2 linked regions of the Saccharomyces cerevisiae S288C genome follow. Changing the gene in region 1 together with any one later gene gives a genetic interaction. Each region holds a gene or a part of one and is shown on either strand. Other genes may lie near its edges.

Evidence for each region. Genes that interact genetically often act in the same process or in processes that back each other up.
Region 2: mutations in PEX2 (region 1) and MET30 together harm fitness more than expected from each alone (negative genetic interaction), as found in Saccharomyces cerevisiae (2 studies listed by BioGRID).

Annotation. Positions count from the first base shown.
Region 1 is NC_001142.9:33,418-40,938, forward strand, and holds PEX2 (ubiquitin-protein ligase peroxin 2), read left to right. Parts: upstream 1-3,501; coding exon 3,502-4,317; downstream 4,318-7,521. Other genes in the region: oligopeptide transporter OPT1, read right to left, coding at 433-2,832; CBP1 (Cbp1p), read left to right, coding at 4,588-6,552; NUC1 (ribonuclease), read right to left, coding at 6,777-7,521. UniProt on the Saccharomyces cerevisiae protein: E3 ubiquitin-protein ligase component of a retrotranslocation channel required for peroxisome organization by mediating export of the PEX5 receptor from peroxisomes to the cytosol, thereby promoting PEX5 recycling.
Region 2 is NC_001141.2:265,046-272,358, reverse strand, and holds MET30 (ubiquitin-binding SDF ubiquitin ligase complex subunit MET30), read right to left. Parts: upstream 3,709-7,313; coding exon 1,786-3,708; downstream 1-1,785. Other genes in the region: putative protein phosphatase regulator PIG2, read right to left, coding at 1-1,198; YIL046W-A (uncharacterized protein), read right to left, coding at 3,886-4,050; SYG1 (Syg1p), read left to right, coding at 4,536-7,244. UniProt on the Saccharomyces cerevisiae protein: Substrate-recognition component of the SCF(Met30) complex, an E3 ubiquitin ligase complex that mediates the ubiquitination and subsequent proteasomal degradation of target proteins. Negatively regulates sulfur amino acids biosynthesis genes expression.

The sequences.
Region 1 (7,521 bases):
ACATTTGGTATCTGAAATACGGATCTATCATAAAATAGAACACCTCAAGGAGGTATAAATTTTAAAAGTTTTTTTATTGTATGCTCGTGCCCGTTTTTTCTTAAAGTCGGAATTTGTTATCGAACACTTGGCATGCGCTAAAGATCGTTAATTTACAAAAATAAGGCGGATGAGATGCCTCCGCTAAATATTGCAGGGGTCGCTTTGAATGTTTCGACCAAAATGTGCTCTAAAATATAGAAATATCATTATTAACAGTATAATTAAACGTTGAGATAAAGTATTTCAAGTTAAGCAATATGAAAGGATGACAGAAAAGAAAATAATTTCTTAATATTACAGAATATGAACTAAAGTTTGCTATTACGTGTGCCAAATTTTGAATTAAAACTTGATATGAACCTCTGCAGGTTTATTATTATGTTTTCATGATTACCACCATTTATCATAACCAAATGTCTCACCTTTCTTTAAGGTATAAAATTTTTTATAATCATTATCATACGTTCTTTTCCAAACGTTGTTTCCCCACCAGCTGAGCTTACCACCTGGGTACTGTACACACAAGAAGATGATGACGACGGAGATTGCCACACCTGCTTCAACACCGGCCCCCATGACGAAATTGTACTTATTGAACCAAGCTCTCCATCTTTTTCTTATCAAGTTTAGGCAGAATGACATTGCAAAAAATAATGAGTAGTTATAAGGTGTGCTTGGTGGAATATTACCTGGGCCTGTGAAAAATACAGGAGTATGAATGTGCTTAGCAAATTTAAATTTAGGGAATTTCCATTGAACAGCATAAACGGCTAGTGGGAATAGCAAACCAATCAAGAAGAACCACATCAGCGGATTATAAATGCGCCCTGATGAGAAAAGATACTTTGGCAAAGACCAGATAATGGAAGCATTGAAAACCGTGCGACCATTAGCACAAGTGAAGCCATTTGGTTGATCGGTGGTACATAAGCCATCGATATTATGCATCATCCATTCCTGGACACCAACGTTAACCATGCCTGATATGATAGTGGCATAGATTTGAACGGCAAAGATCAAACGAGGGGAAACCTTCATGTACATGGCTAATTTCAAATCTCTACTCAAATTCAAGCCTTGTCTCATGACAATAAATCCGTATAGCTTGAATAATAAGTTTGCCATTGGTCTTAAAGGCAGCATATAACCGCAGATCAATTCTGTGATAATATTCAAACCTACGTGTTGGTTAGTCATTGCTTCCAAGATACCTTGCGGGATGAAATTTACAAGGGAAATTAATATTGCAATAACAAATGCCCAAGCTGGGAACTTAGTATCGAAACAGCACACTGCTACAAATCCTAAACCGATCATGACAATCTGCAAAAGTAAATACCACCAATCGGGACAATCCTTATAGTTCTTGGAGTAGATTCTCATGTGAATGTCAGTGCCACCATTTTTACGGTCTTTAAACTTGGCGACAATATCTTTACCGTGGTATAAGATGCAGTGGACAAAAACGGCGATAACAGCGGCAAAATTTAAAGCATACGACAAAAGATAGGAAAATGGAACGAATACCGGTGAGTATTCCTTATATTTCTCAAGATTAATGGAATAATCCTCGTTAAGAATCTTTGTTACGTTGTATTTGTTTTGAGTGTTGTCATAAGTAGAACCTGAAATGACGGGCATGTATTTGGCATACCAGGTATTCGTAAAATAAAGACATGGCAGCACTATGACGAAGAATATCAACACTGATGCATAGGTGTTGGCGGAGACGTAGAATGGTGTGGCGAAAACAGAGCCGGACATGGCTTGGGAAACCTGGGTGTAGTCAAATGTAATTGGCAACGCACCGAGACCACTTTGAGTACCAAAGATTGTGTTAGCGATGAAATTGTGTCTTGTCTTCGACCCCCATAGGATAACGTTGAAATAGGACAGACCGGTAAAGAGGAATCCAGGTACCCAATACCAGATGAACGATCCGATAAGGACGATTAAGAAGAACCTGTAACGGGGCATCGTCCAACCATTTGCGACTGTCTTTTCAACTTTTCTCGAGTGCAACGAATCAAACAAGGACACTGAAATTAAAGTCTGAGGCCAGATAGAGCTTGCAGGGTTGACGACCCATCTTCTGGTAAGACCTGCAGCACCATAACCAATCATTTGAGATGTCCAAACCAACAAGAACTGATATCCGACATTAAGTTTCATGTTGTAAAAGCTTCCCTGGGCGTTCAAAATGTACATAGCGTATGCAGTAGAGGAAGTAAGCGCCACGGCAATTGTGACCACGGCGTGTTCCTTTTTGGTAAATGGGCCCGGGTTTAAATCGAAAAATGGCACTTTAGAACACTTCCAGTCGGGCAAGAGAGCCAGTATCCTACCAATTGGGTAGCAAACAACTTGTGCAACAAGGAAGTTGATCTCTAGCGATGGATATCTCAGGGAAAAAAATTGATTAACACCGGCGAAAACTACCACAAACACCGTGGTCAAGAACCACGTTCTCCAGTGGTTGAGGCGGATGGTGGGGTCATCCTCGATGGACACCGCCGATCTCACTTCAGGATATGGAGAATTGGGCAAGTATGTAGGGTCGCCCTTCCAAACGAGACCTTCCTCCTGTATGGAATGCCTGTCGAATTTTTGGCTTTCCGGATCGCGGTCCTCCTCATCAGTAGTCGCAGTGAGATTATTGACGTCCTCGTCAATATTCTTAACGAAAGCATCTTTCTTTTCCTCTTCCATATTGATCTGGATAGGAATGGTTGTTGGCGTTGGCGAGGGCTCCGACTCCAACGAGTCGCTCTCCCTATAAATGGTACTCATGTGTTCTGTGACGTTATATAATTGTTGCGGTTATTTTCTGCCACACAGTCGAAAACTTTTTACCAAGAATACACAGCTTCCGATGATTGTCCATATATAGTCGAAACAATTCATTGAATAGCCCAAAATTTGAAAAAAAAAGAAAAATGATGGGCACCCCATGATGATAAGAGCTCTCTTTCTTCAACAACGATTGCTAAGGCGTTTACAGACCCATCGACTGCCCTTGCAGTGGGTTTGATGTGATTAACAGGCAGCAGCAACAAGCAACTGCTGAAAACCTTGGTGCCTTGCAGACGGCTATTGTCCTGGATTTTGTGTGACAAAACGTAGATGTGGCGTCTTGTAGTCGGAGGTGTGGCGGGCCGGAAAAATAGTGGAAAAAAAGAAAATTAATGCGATAGCGACGGGCAGGTAGGGAGGTTTGAGGGGTCCGTAGTATGCGTCTATCGTTGCAACAAGGGTGACTAATGCCATGTCTTGGCCTTTGATGCAACGTCTCGGAAGTTAGTATCGATCCGAGGAGTGGAACGGATGCGATTTCCCCTCCATTCTATCGATAAGGTTGCTGGGAAACGCATTATAAGGGATGAGTGAAGACGGAGGGAAAGCATAACGAGGAGAGATTGCCGAGATAACTGAGAAGACGTAATCTAAAGGCAACGCAGCATGTCTCGAGTTGCACAGCTCGACTCGATAGCGCTTGATAAAGAATTGTATGGACAGTTTTGGTCCGAGTTCAATGCAGCATTCAATACGAGTGAACACAAAGAGGAATGGGAGTTGGCACTGAACACAGTTGTGTTTATGTGCGCGACGAGGTTCCTGCCACACTATGGCTCTAGCTGTACGTATGGATCCGCACTCAGTGGCGTGGTTTTTCAGTGCAGGAAACGCACCTTGTATGTCGTCACTGTCTTGGCAGGGTACGTGTGGAAGAAGATCACACATATTATTTTTAATGGGCCGCACTGTGGGAACCAGATGATGTGGCTGAAGCTGTACAAATGGGTTAATTTATTGTATCACGGCTGTGATGTAACCAACTTCCTGAGGTTTCTAGCAGCGGAAGGGCCCAATGCGAGGGCGTTTTTGTCGCCGTTATACCGGGCTTTTAATGTCCATTCCACAAGGTTGATTCGGGATGGTTCTGCAATTGCCTCTGAATTTTATTCGAACTCTGTATTCGCTGGGTTAGAATACCAGAATAGACAATTGCTATGGAATGCACTATTAGAACTCTTTTCCAATACACTACTTACGAAAAGAGGACTCTTGACCTTTGTTAAAAAACCACCAAGGTCTCGTTCTACGACTACTTATAAGACAGTTTGCCCCCGTTGCGGCGGTTTTCCAACCAACCCATACCAGATCGCTTGTTGTCGTGCGAACTACTGTTACGTGTGCGTTGTAAAGGCGTTGGAGTGGTCTATGTGCGATGCCTGTGGATCCTCTGGGAGACTGACCGCCTCACCAGTGTACTAAAGGGCCCCGTTCCCTCGCTTGTATCTCTATATATGTGTATACTATATTCATATTCATGTTGTCAAAATCGGTCACGTGGTAAAGGGTCTGGTTTTTTTTTTTTCACTTTCTGCTCAAGAAAAAAAAGAAACAATAAAGAAGTGGTATAATATCATCATGGAACGCTGTACGGGACGATGTGGGAAGCGACGTCTGAAATCCAGTAATAATAAACAGTGAGCACTTTAGGATAGCAGTAGTTTGCATTTTGCACGTTTCCCTTTCCATGCAATGTTTTTACCTCGTCTCGTTCGGTACAGGACCGAGAGGTTTATAAAAATGGTACCTACCAGGACCTTGCGACGAATCAACCACAGCAGCAGGGATCCAATTCAAAAACAGGTCTTGGCCCTTATCAAAGCAAATGCGAATTTAAATGACAATGACAAGTTGAAAATACGGAAATATTGGTCTGACATGGCGGACTACAAAAGTCTTCGGAAACAAGAAAATAGCTTACTGGAAAGCTCTATATTACACGAGGTCAAGATCGAAGATTTCATCAGTTTCATCAATCGCACAAAAACCTCATCTATGACTACAAGAGGAATTTATAGAAGAGAATGTTTGTACCAATGCAAGAAAAACTTGGATCTAGTCAATCAAGTGGTCTCCCAAGTTTCATCCGTAAGACATCAAAAGCCCTTGACTACGCAATTGGATACTATGCGCTGGTGTGTTGATGATGCCATCGGCACAGGAGACATAGTTATGGCTGCCGACCTTTTCCTGCTGTACTACAGATTATTTACAGATGATAAAAAGCTAGACGAACAATATGCTAAGAAAATAATATCAGTATTAGCGTACCCAAACCCACTGCATGATCATGTTCATCTAGTCAAATATTTACAACTGAACTCTCTGTTCGAAAGTATAACCGGAGGCGGAATAAAGTTAACGAGGTTTCAATTAGAAACTCTTTCTAATAAGGCCCTCGGCTTAAGTAATGAAGCCCCGCAATTATGCAAGGCTATACTGAACAAACTGATGAATATAAACTATTCTTTGACTAACGATTTGAAGCTTCGGGATGATCAAGTGCTGCTTGCGTACAAGTCCATTGATGAAAATTATAGAAGAGGAAATGTTGCAAGTGTGTATTCTATTTGGAACAAAATCAAAGAGCACTATGTTTCCATTTCTGCACATGATTCCAGAATCATTTATAAAGTCTTCAAGATTTGTACCCATAATAGAGCCTATAGATCTATATGTAGCGAAATGTTTTGGCAATTAACTCCAGAGTACTATTGTAATAACCCTTTGATATTACCGGCAATTATTGACTTCATTACAAAGCAAGACTCTTTAACAATGGCCAAGGAACTCATGCAGAACATTAACAGATACACTTTACCCGAAAACCATCATATTGTCTGGCTTAACAAGAGATGTCTTTCTTCATTGCTAAGAATGCATTTGAAATTTAACGATTCTAACGGTGTAGATAGGGTTTTGAAGCAAATAACAACAAATTTCAGGGCGCTTTCGCAAGAAAATTATCAAGCAATAATTATTCACCTTTTCAAAACACAAAACCTCGATCATATCGCTAAGGCAGTCAAATTACTCGATACTATACCCCCCGGACAAGCAATGTTAGCCTATGGGTCAATAATTAACGAAGTAGTTGATTGGAAATTGGCTTCAAAGGTCAAGTTCACCGATAATTTGATGGCACTTGTAAACGATTTGTTGACGAAGGCACATGATTTTGATCCTGACCACAGAAACTCTCTTTGGAATGTGGTTTCCGCTTTATACATTAAAAAACTTTGTCATTATAAAAAGCGAGATGGTAAATTTGTTGCCAATGCCAAGAAGGATATCGATTTGGCAAAACTACTTTATATAAATGCTGCAAAGAGAAGTAAAACATACTGGACAAAATCGAACTGTAACCCATTCATTGCATCCTCCCCATGTGATGTCAAATTAAAAGTGAATAATCAAAACAGGTTTACTATTTTAAGGAATATTGCATTAAGCGCACTGCAGATAGGAAGAACAGACATTTTTCTTTGGGCGTGCGCAGAACTATACCAGAACGGTATGACGATTGAGGAATTGAAGTTAGACTGGAATTTCATCTTAAAACATCAAATTAGAAATTCAGAGTTCAAAACAAACAAGGAGATCATACAAGATATTAAAAAGCATGGTGTGTCGGCTGTCAAACGTTACTTAAGATGAACGGCCAAACGCACATTTACGATATAAATAACAAAGCAAATAATAACAAAACAAATTTCTGTAAATATATACTAAATCCAAGCATTGCATCCTAATTCTTTTCTTTTTTTGATCATCAAATAAATGTATTATTTTATGTTATATGCGTTAGACTTGTTATATTCTTTCATGCTATTCTATCGTTGTGTTATGAATTAATTTATATTTACAGTTTTTCAGTACATTCAATTCCTTTTTTTTGGAGGAGGTAACAATTTCACATCTTTCGATTGTTTGATCGCCGCGTTAGAGAAATCTCTCACTACAATTTGACAATTTACCTCTTTGCATAATGCCTTCTTCTTTGAAGGTGGTACTTTTTGCAGAAGTTCTAGCCCAGTACTTCTCTCTAAAGCATCTATAGGAACTTCAAAGTCAGTCAATTTCGTCTCATTTGATATCGGTTCGTTTGGCAATACAAATGCCGCGACAGCAATATCCTCTCTAGCAGGATTGGCTGTTGGTGCTTCTGCAACAATCAATTTAAAAAAGTGCGTTGGAACAGCAATACTGGGTGGATTGCCAATAACTTCATAATTAACCCTAAATTTATTATCTATGGGATCCTTTTTGGGTAGATACAATGGACCAGTCACGATTCTTACACTCTTATATTTCTTAGTCAATCCCCTACAAAAGTACTCCAAATGCGCCCAATAGTCTCTATTAAAACCTTCTCCTACTTGAGGACACATATTGGATAAGTAGAATGTATCATCCATGGCCTGTTGAGAAAATTTTGCGTCTGCAGCTGGGGCTTGATGGCCTCGATCATAGCCCGACCTAAAATAGTCTCTTAGTTTACCTCTAAACTTTTCTGGAATTACTTCATCTTCCTTGAAAAAGGAATTTTTTCTGTCAGCATTCCTTGCAGCCAATGATTCTGGCGTTATATGTTCGAGGACCCAATAAGGATTTTGAGTTTGTCTG
Region 2 (7,313 bases), on another chromosome or scaffold:
GTAGCGTAATTTCTTGCAAAAAAACGGGCCTTCCACGGGAAAGATTCAGAAATATGTTAAGTTTTAAACTCTTACGGTTCCTGTCACTTAATATTGGAAAGTTCTTGTTGTAAAGACCAACAATTCTTTTAGAGTTTCCAATAAACAAGTTGGCTCCTGATTTAGCAGAATTTGTTCTTGTTTCTAAATAATCGTCGTCATCGTTTATTAACAAATTCTTCAACCCGTGCGCAAGATGAGCTTGGTCTTTGTCTTGTTGCCTTACTAAACGGTTTATAGCGTCGTCACTATCATTGTCATTTTCAATATCACTGTCATCGTCACTTAGTTTAAACTTCTTTTTTTTATTTCTACGATTATTAGAATTTGTACCAAATAGGAATACACCCTTCGGGTTTTGTAGCCATGTATCTCCATATTCGTTTTGGTTGTTTTCAGATAGTAAATCTTCTATAGGTACGCTATCACTACCGCCATTAAGGGCACTTAGTCTCGTCAAAGGCTTATGCTTGAAATTCAGAACATCTTGTTGAACCATTTGTTTGCCAACATCTATGGGTTTCTCATTTTCATTGAACAGCTTTATTGGTAAAACACGATCGAAATGGACACTTTTACTTCTTTGCAATAGCCTAGTATCTACATGATCTAAATTGACATGTTTACTCTTAGAGCCAGTTTTGTTGAATATAGATTTGGGAGTAATGGGTAGGGACTTGGATCTTCTTTTTAATGAACTCTTAACCAGTTCTCCAGATTTCTTGTAAATGGGAGGTGAAGGATTACCATTTTCCTCGGATTCATACTGGAAATTATCATGTGATAGAGGAGAGATTTCGTCTTCCTCCTCGCCTAATTTACTGACGTCTTGATGATGTGCGTTAAAGTTCGCTCCAGAATTTATAAACGGGTGATGGGCATGAACTTGTTTCCCATTAAAATACATTCCCTTATTCATGTCCGTATTTCTTTGAAGCTCGTCCTGAGGTAATCTGTGCAGTTTTACATTAGATAGTCTCCTGGGCTTGTGCAAAAACTCCAGAGAGTTCAGCCTGGCAGGGTGCATGTGCATGCTCATACCAGCAAAAGTTCTTATATTCGCATTTATGTTTCCATAGTTATTGTTGTGGGCACTGTTATTAGGAAGATTTAAAGGTTCATCCATCAGTATATTTTGTGGTTGCGTGGTGGTGGCCATACGGATAAAAGCAATAATACTAGCTAGCTATATTATCTTTTTTTATTTATTATTAAGCTATTACCAAAGCTGGCGCCTCAACTGTTGGGTTCTTGTCTATTTTATGTATATTCTATATTTCAAGGATTACGGAATCGATAAGTATTCTATTATGTAATCGCCTTTATATACAATGGCCGTGCGCGTTTATATAATAAAGTACCTTCGCCCTTTGGATTTATTAGTACTGTTGAGGGAACAATATTGCAGATTATGGATCTTGTACGACATTTTATGCGTACGCCCTCTTCATCATCGCCGTCAATATAATAAGCTTTATCTTCAGTCCCCCCCTTGACATCCCCCTTAGCGTGGGAAGGGCTCCGTGGGGGAGTAATAGCATCTAATGGTCAAGAGTTTTATCGAGACGAAAAAGAGGAAGGAAAAAAACTGAAGATGGAAAAGGCTAGTGATACGCTAGCGATTTATTTTTTTCCTGGAAATAAAATAAATGTAAAATGCTATTATGTATTTTTCATTATATATGTAAGCATATATATTCGAGGTACTACGGATGTTTTTGACCAAGAAAAGACCACACACAGGTCCTAATCATTGAGATCGAATTTGTACATTTTTACGCACCCAAATTCATCACCACTAAAGCATTCTGAATCTCCAATACAAACACAAGCGATAGGGGCGACTTTATCACCCAAGGATTGTGTTTGTGTGTGCTGAGTTTCTCTTTGTAGTCTTCGACCGTTGAACGTGTGCATACACTTCCCGCTTTGCAAGTCCCAGACCTTAATGCTTCCGTCGTGAGAACCACTTATAATTCTGAAGTTGTCAGCGGCGATGTCCCAAACACCTTCCACGTGCCCAAACTGTGTTCTTATGCATTTACCGGTTTTGACGTCCCATAGTTTGATTGTGTTATCCAGTCCGCAAGATAGTAGATGTGTTGGATAAGGTATGTTTTCATCTAAGACAGTTTCTTGCTCGTTCGACGGTGTGTCTGATTCGTCTGCACCATCAGTCATTGTTGGGTCATCCTGCGGAGAGCTGCCATCAGAAGTGTTGTCGGTGGCTAGATTCTCTACATCCTTAATGGTAAGCGGTATGATCTTTTGCACCTGCCCTACATGACCCCTGAACACTTTTAGGCATGAATTGGTCCTGATATCCCACATTCGGATTGTGGTATCGTCACTGCAACTAAAACATGAAAAGCTTTTCGGATGCAATTTGACGCAATTAACCCATTCCGTGTGGCCTCTCAAGGTGTAGCATGTCCTGGACTCCACGTGCCATACCTTGACCGTCTTGTCAGCACTGCCGGAAACGATAACCTTCTGGTATGAATCTACGCTCAGAACGCTATCCGAGTGGCCTCGATACGTGGAAATGCATTCACCGGTTATGTAGTTCCAAACACGGATCGTCTTGTCGAGCGAGCCCGTAATCAGCTTTCTATCGTCAAAATATAATGTCTTGACGCCGTCCGAATGGCCGCTGAGCCTTCGTATTAGCTTCCCCGTGAATAAGTCCCATATACCTATGGTGGAGTCGTACGAGCCTGTGAACAAAAGCCTGTAGTTAAACTGGAGCGTTAACACACCATCCATGTGGCCCTTGAATTCCTGAATCCTGCAGTGGCCCTTTCTCCAGTTTGACTCCACTTTGAACCGTTCTCTGTAGATGACTTTCCAAGGTCGCGTAGTTTGCGTCTGGATATCTGCGTTGCTGCTAGATCCTGTACTATTCTGTTGTATCCGCGCACGTTTCATGTGCAAAAGAGGCAGCCCCCAGCCACAGTTGGGACATTTCCTGTCTATGTGCTGCTCGCACATGTGGTACCATACCCTGTCGTCATCCGCGAGCTTCTGCCACTTGCGGCACACTCTCGTGGCGTTGCAAAGAGATTGGCAATCCAGATAACTCAAGATCTTCAGCGACAGCTCCTGCGGCAGAATGCTGATGAAGTCGATCTTGATCATGTGTGTAACGAGTGACGAAATGTAGGAAAGCTGTGGGAAGCAACTCGTCGATAGGATCCCATCCAGAATCAGCTTCCGTATCTTGTCATTGGAATTGCTGTACTTCGAGATAATGTGGTGGATGTCGGATTGCTCCTGCAGGGGTAGCTTCGCGATATTAGCATTAATCTCTTGCGTTCGTTTCAAATCCTGCTTGTAGCACGCTGTATGAGTTGGTGAGAACTGAATGTCCGGGTTATGCCGATAGCAGAACTTGGTGAAGTTATATTCTGGCAATGGCTGTACCCTAGTGCCGCTGTCGTTTGTCGCCAAATCGGGTGATGACGATGGCGACCTCGTCGCCATCGTCATCTTCTTCTTACCCGATGATCCTTGTGCCAAATCATCGCTACTGCCCGTAATAAGCAATCTCTTTAATGGTGGCATCATCGCCGTATCTGTCATTTCACTGCTGTTATTACTATTACTATTGTCAAGGTCGTCCTTGTCCTTGTCCTCGAAACTCATCATCCTTTGCCTCTCTCTCCTCATGCCCTTCTCCTTTATAAATCACCAAACACACACCCCTTTACCGATACTCAAGCCTCTTCTCTAAACTTCTTTAACTGCAGTCTTCTCTTACGATACAGACTGCAAGGTTGCTTTCTTCTTACGCTGATGAAAAAAAATAAAATATCTCCGCGCAAACTGTGGCTTCCCGATCACGTGCTACAACCTCATTTCTACATTAAAACACACACATTGTACCACACACGCCAACACACATATACACGCACAATCACTCCCACACATATACAAACACACGACATATGAATATATATAGTACACGCGCCAATCCATTAGTTTTTTTTTTGGGATACAGACGCACATCATGGCTTCTTGCCCGTTTAGTGCAATACAATAGCCTTGTGTTGCCGTGCCACACCCTGCAGTTATCTCTCCCAGATCTGTCTTTCCATCCCCTTAGTTGCTATCGCTGCAGCCATTTGTTCAAAATCGTTATCACCATCATTCATCATCACTTATCATTATCATGCACATGCTGCCAGCCGCTGCGGCTGGCTATGTGTTGGTAGTCATCGAGTCGGAAGCCCATCATCGGTGTGGGTGTGAGGCATTTCTAGAACGGATTTTGGGTGCCGTTTGTCACGTGGGACGGGATGCGGTTTTATTTGACGCAAGTTCCATGAACATCATCGCACGGTTTCGCAACAGTTTGGGACTGTACATGTACAAGATGGGTTTTCTCCTTTGCTTTTTTGTTTTGTTTTGTTTGATTTGATGGTTGGTAGTTATTTTTTTTTTTTTTTTAATTCAGTTGGCAGCAATGGAAGGGCTTTACCATAGCACCGTATCAGATGAAGTTTGCTGACCATCTAACCGAGTCTGCCATCCCGGAATGGAGGGACAAATATATTGATTATAAGGTCGGCAAGAAGAAGCTTCGCCGCTACAAGGAGAAGCTGGATGCCGAAGAAGAGCAATCCAGCTCCTACCGGAGCTGGATGCCCTCTGTGTCGGTATACCAGACTGCATTTCAGCAGAGAGAGCCCGGCAAAAGTCGCAGCGACGGAGACTATCGCTCCGGACCTGCGTTCAAGAAGGACTATTCTGCTTTGCAGAGGGAGTTCGTTGCTGACTTCATTGAAGACTGGTTGATCTCGTTCCAGTTGAGTAAGTGTAACGAGTTTTACCTTTGGTTGCTAAAGGAGTGCGACAAGAAGTTTGAGGTTTTACAGTCGCAACTGCACTATTACTCGCTGCAGAAGAATTATGAGCGCGACAACTTGAACCGGTCTAGTTCGAATGTTGACATGTCCACGAGTCTATATGCGGCAGGGCTTGCTGGTCGTTCTGACTCCAGGGTCAATAGCATCGACAGCGATAGCCGGTCTGTTATGTATGGGTCAATGCCCTGCACCAAAGAGGCCAAGAAGCCGCGTTTGTCGCTGCTAGCGTACTGTCAGAAAGTTCTTAAGGACAATAGGCTGCTGCCATCGTGGCCCAAACGTGGATTTTCTCTGCTACAGGACTTGAGACAGGATGCGTCCTCAAGAGGCCGCGAGACGTTTGCTTTTGGCGCTTCTTTTCTGGAGACTATGACGACAACCCAGGCTAGAAACTTGTTAAGCAACGCTATAATCGAGTACTATCTGTACTTGCAATTGGTCAAATCGTTCCGGGATATCAACGTCACCGGGTTCCGTAAAATGGTCAAGAAATTCGACAAAACGTGTCACACAAGAGAGCTGACCACGTTCATGTCGTACGCCAGGACCCACTACACCCTTTTCAAGCACGCGGATGCCAACGTGCAGTTGGTGGCACAGAAGATGCAACAAATAACCAGTTCGCAACCAACACCCACTTCGGAGCTCTCTTCCGCCCAAAGAGACAAAGAGCCCATCACTTGGTTGGAAACGCAGATCACCGAGTGGTTCACCACTGCGTTGACCAATTCGCCTAAGGACAGGAAGCACAATACCCATAAGTTGAAGAAATTGACCATTCAGTACTCTATCTCCGAACAAATGGTTCATAGAAACAACAGATCGATTGTGCAGATGCTGGTTGTCGGGCTGGGCATAGGTGTGTCAATGACTTTGATCACTTACACTTTGTATTTGGGCATTAGCTCTGAAGAAACGTCATTTACGCACAAGATTCTGTTCCCACTGTGGGGTGGTTGGTACATGGTTTTGTTGATCGCGTTTCTCTTTCTTGTTAATTGTTTTATCTGGCATAGAACCGGGATTAATTATAGATTTATTATGCTGGGTGAGATTCAATCCAAGAATGGTACGCAATTTTTCAACAATGATTTTGCCACGAGTAAAATTCCGCTCAAGTTGTATTTCTTGACATTCTTCATAGTACCTTGTGCGGTCTGTTCCATGTTAAGTTTCGCTTTGGAGAAGCTCACACCCTTAGGCTTTTTATATATTGGTATTGTGTCTTTCTTATTTTTATGTCCCTCTGGTCTAATTCCATATTGGGACAAAGTTGTACACACTAGAAAATGGCTGGTGGTTACTCTTATTAGACTGATGATGTCTGGTTTTTTCCCTGTTGAGTTTGGTGATTTCTTTTTGGGAGATATTATTTGTTCGTTGACGTATTCTATTGCCGATATTGCCATGTTCTTCTGTGTTTACTCTCATACGCCCAACAATCTATGTGGCTCTTCACATTCCAGAGCAATGGGTGTTTTATCATGTTTACCAAGTTATTGGAGATTCATGCAATGTTTACGAAGATTTGCTGATTCCGGTGATTGGTTCCCTCATCTTTTGAACGCGGCGAAATACACTTTGGGTATAGCGTATAATGCCACACTTTGTGCTTACAGATTGTCAGACCGTTCTGAACAAAGGAGAACCCCTTTTATCGTGTGCGCTACGTTGAATTCGATCCTTACTTCCGCCTGGGATTTAGTTATGGATTGGTCCTTTGCTCACAATACTACTTCTTACAATTGGTTGCTAAGAGACGACTTGTATTTAGCTGGTAAAAAAAATTGGGAAAACGGCAGTTATTCATTCAGTAGGAAGTTAGTTTATTACTTTGCTATGATTTGGGATATCCTCATTAGATTTGAGTGGATTGTATACGCAATTGCTCCTCAAACAATTCAGCAGAGTGCTGTGACGTCGTTTATATTGGCCCTTTTGGAGGTTTTAAGAAGATTCGTTTGGATCATCTTCAGAGTCGAAAATGAACATGTTGCCAATGTTCACCTATTCAGGGTTACCGGTGACGCTCCTCTGCCTTATCCAATTGCGCAGGTCGGTGATGATTCTATGGATAGTAGTGATTTGGGTTCAAAAGCCTTTTCATCACTTAACGACATACCTATCACGCCTTCACATGACAATAATCCTCACAGTTTTGCCGAACCTATGCCCGCTTACCGTGGGACTTTCAGAAGAAGGTCCTCCGTGTTTGAGAACATTTCGAGATCCATTCCTTGGGCACATGCAACTGATTTCCAAAGACCAACTGTCAATACCGTGGATGATAGGTCTCCCGAAACAGATAGTGAAAGTGAAGTGGAAAGTATTATGTGATTTGGGCTGGACATGATATTTGCTATTGTTAACCTGCTAAAGATGCTTATTTGAGGAAGTACAAAGAAA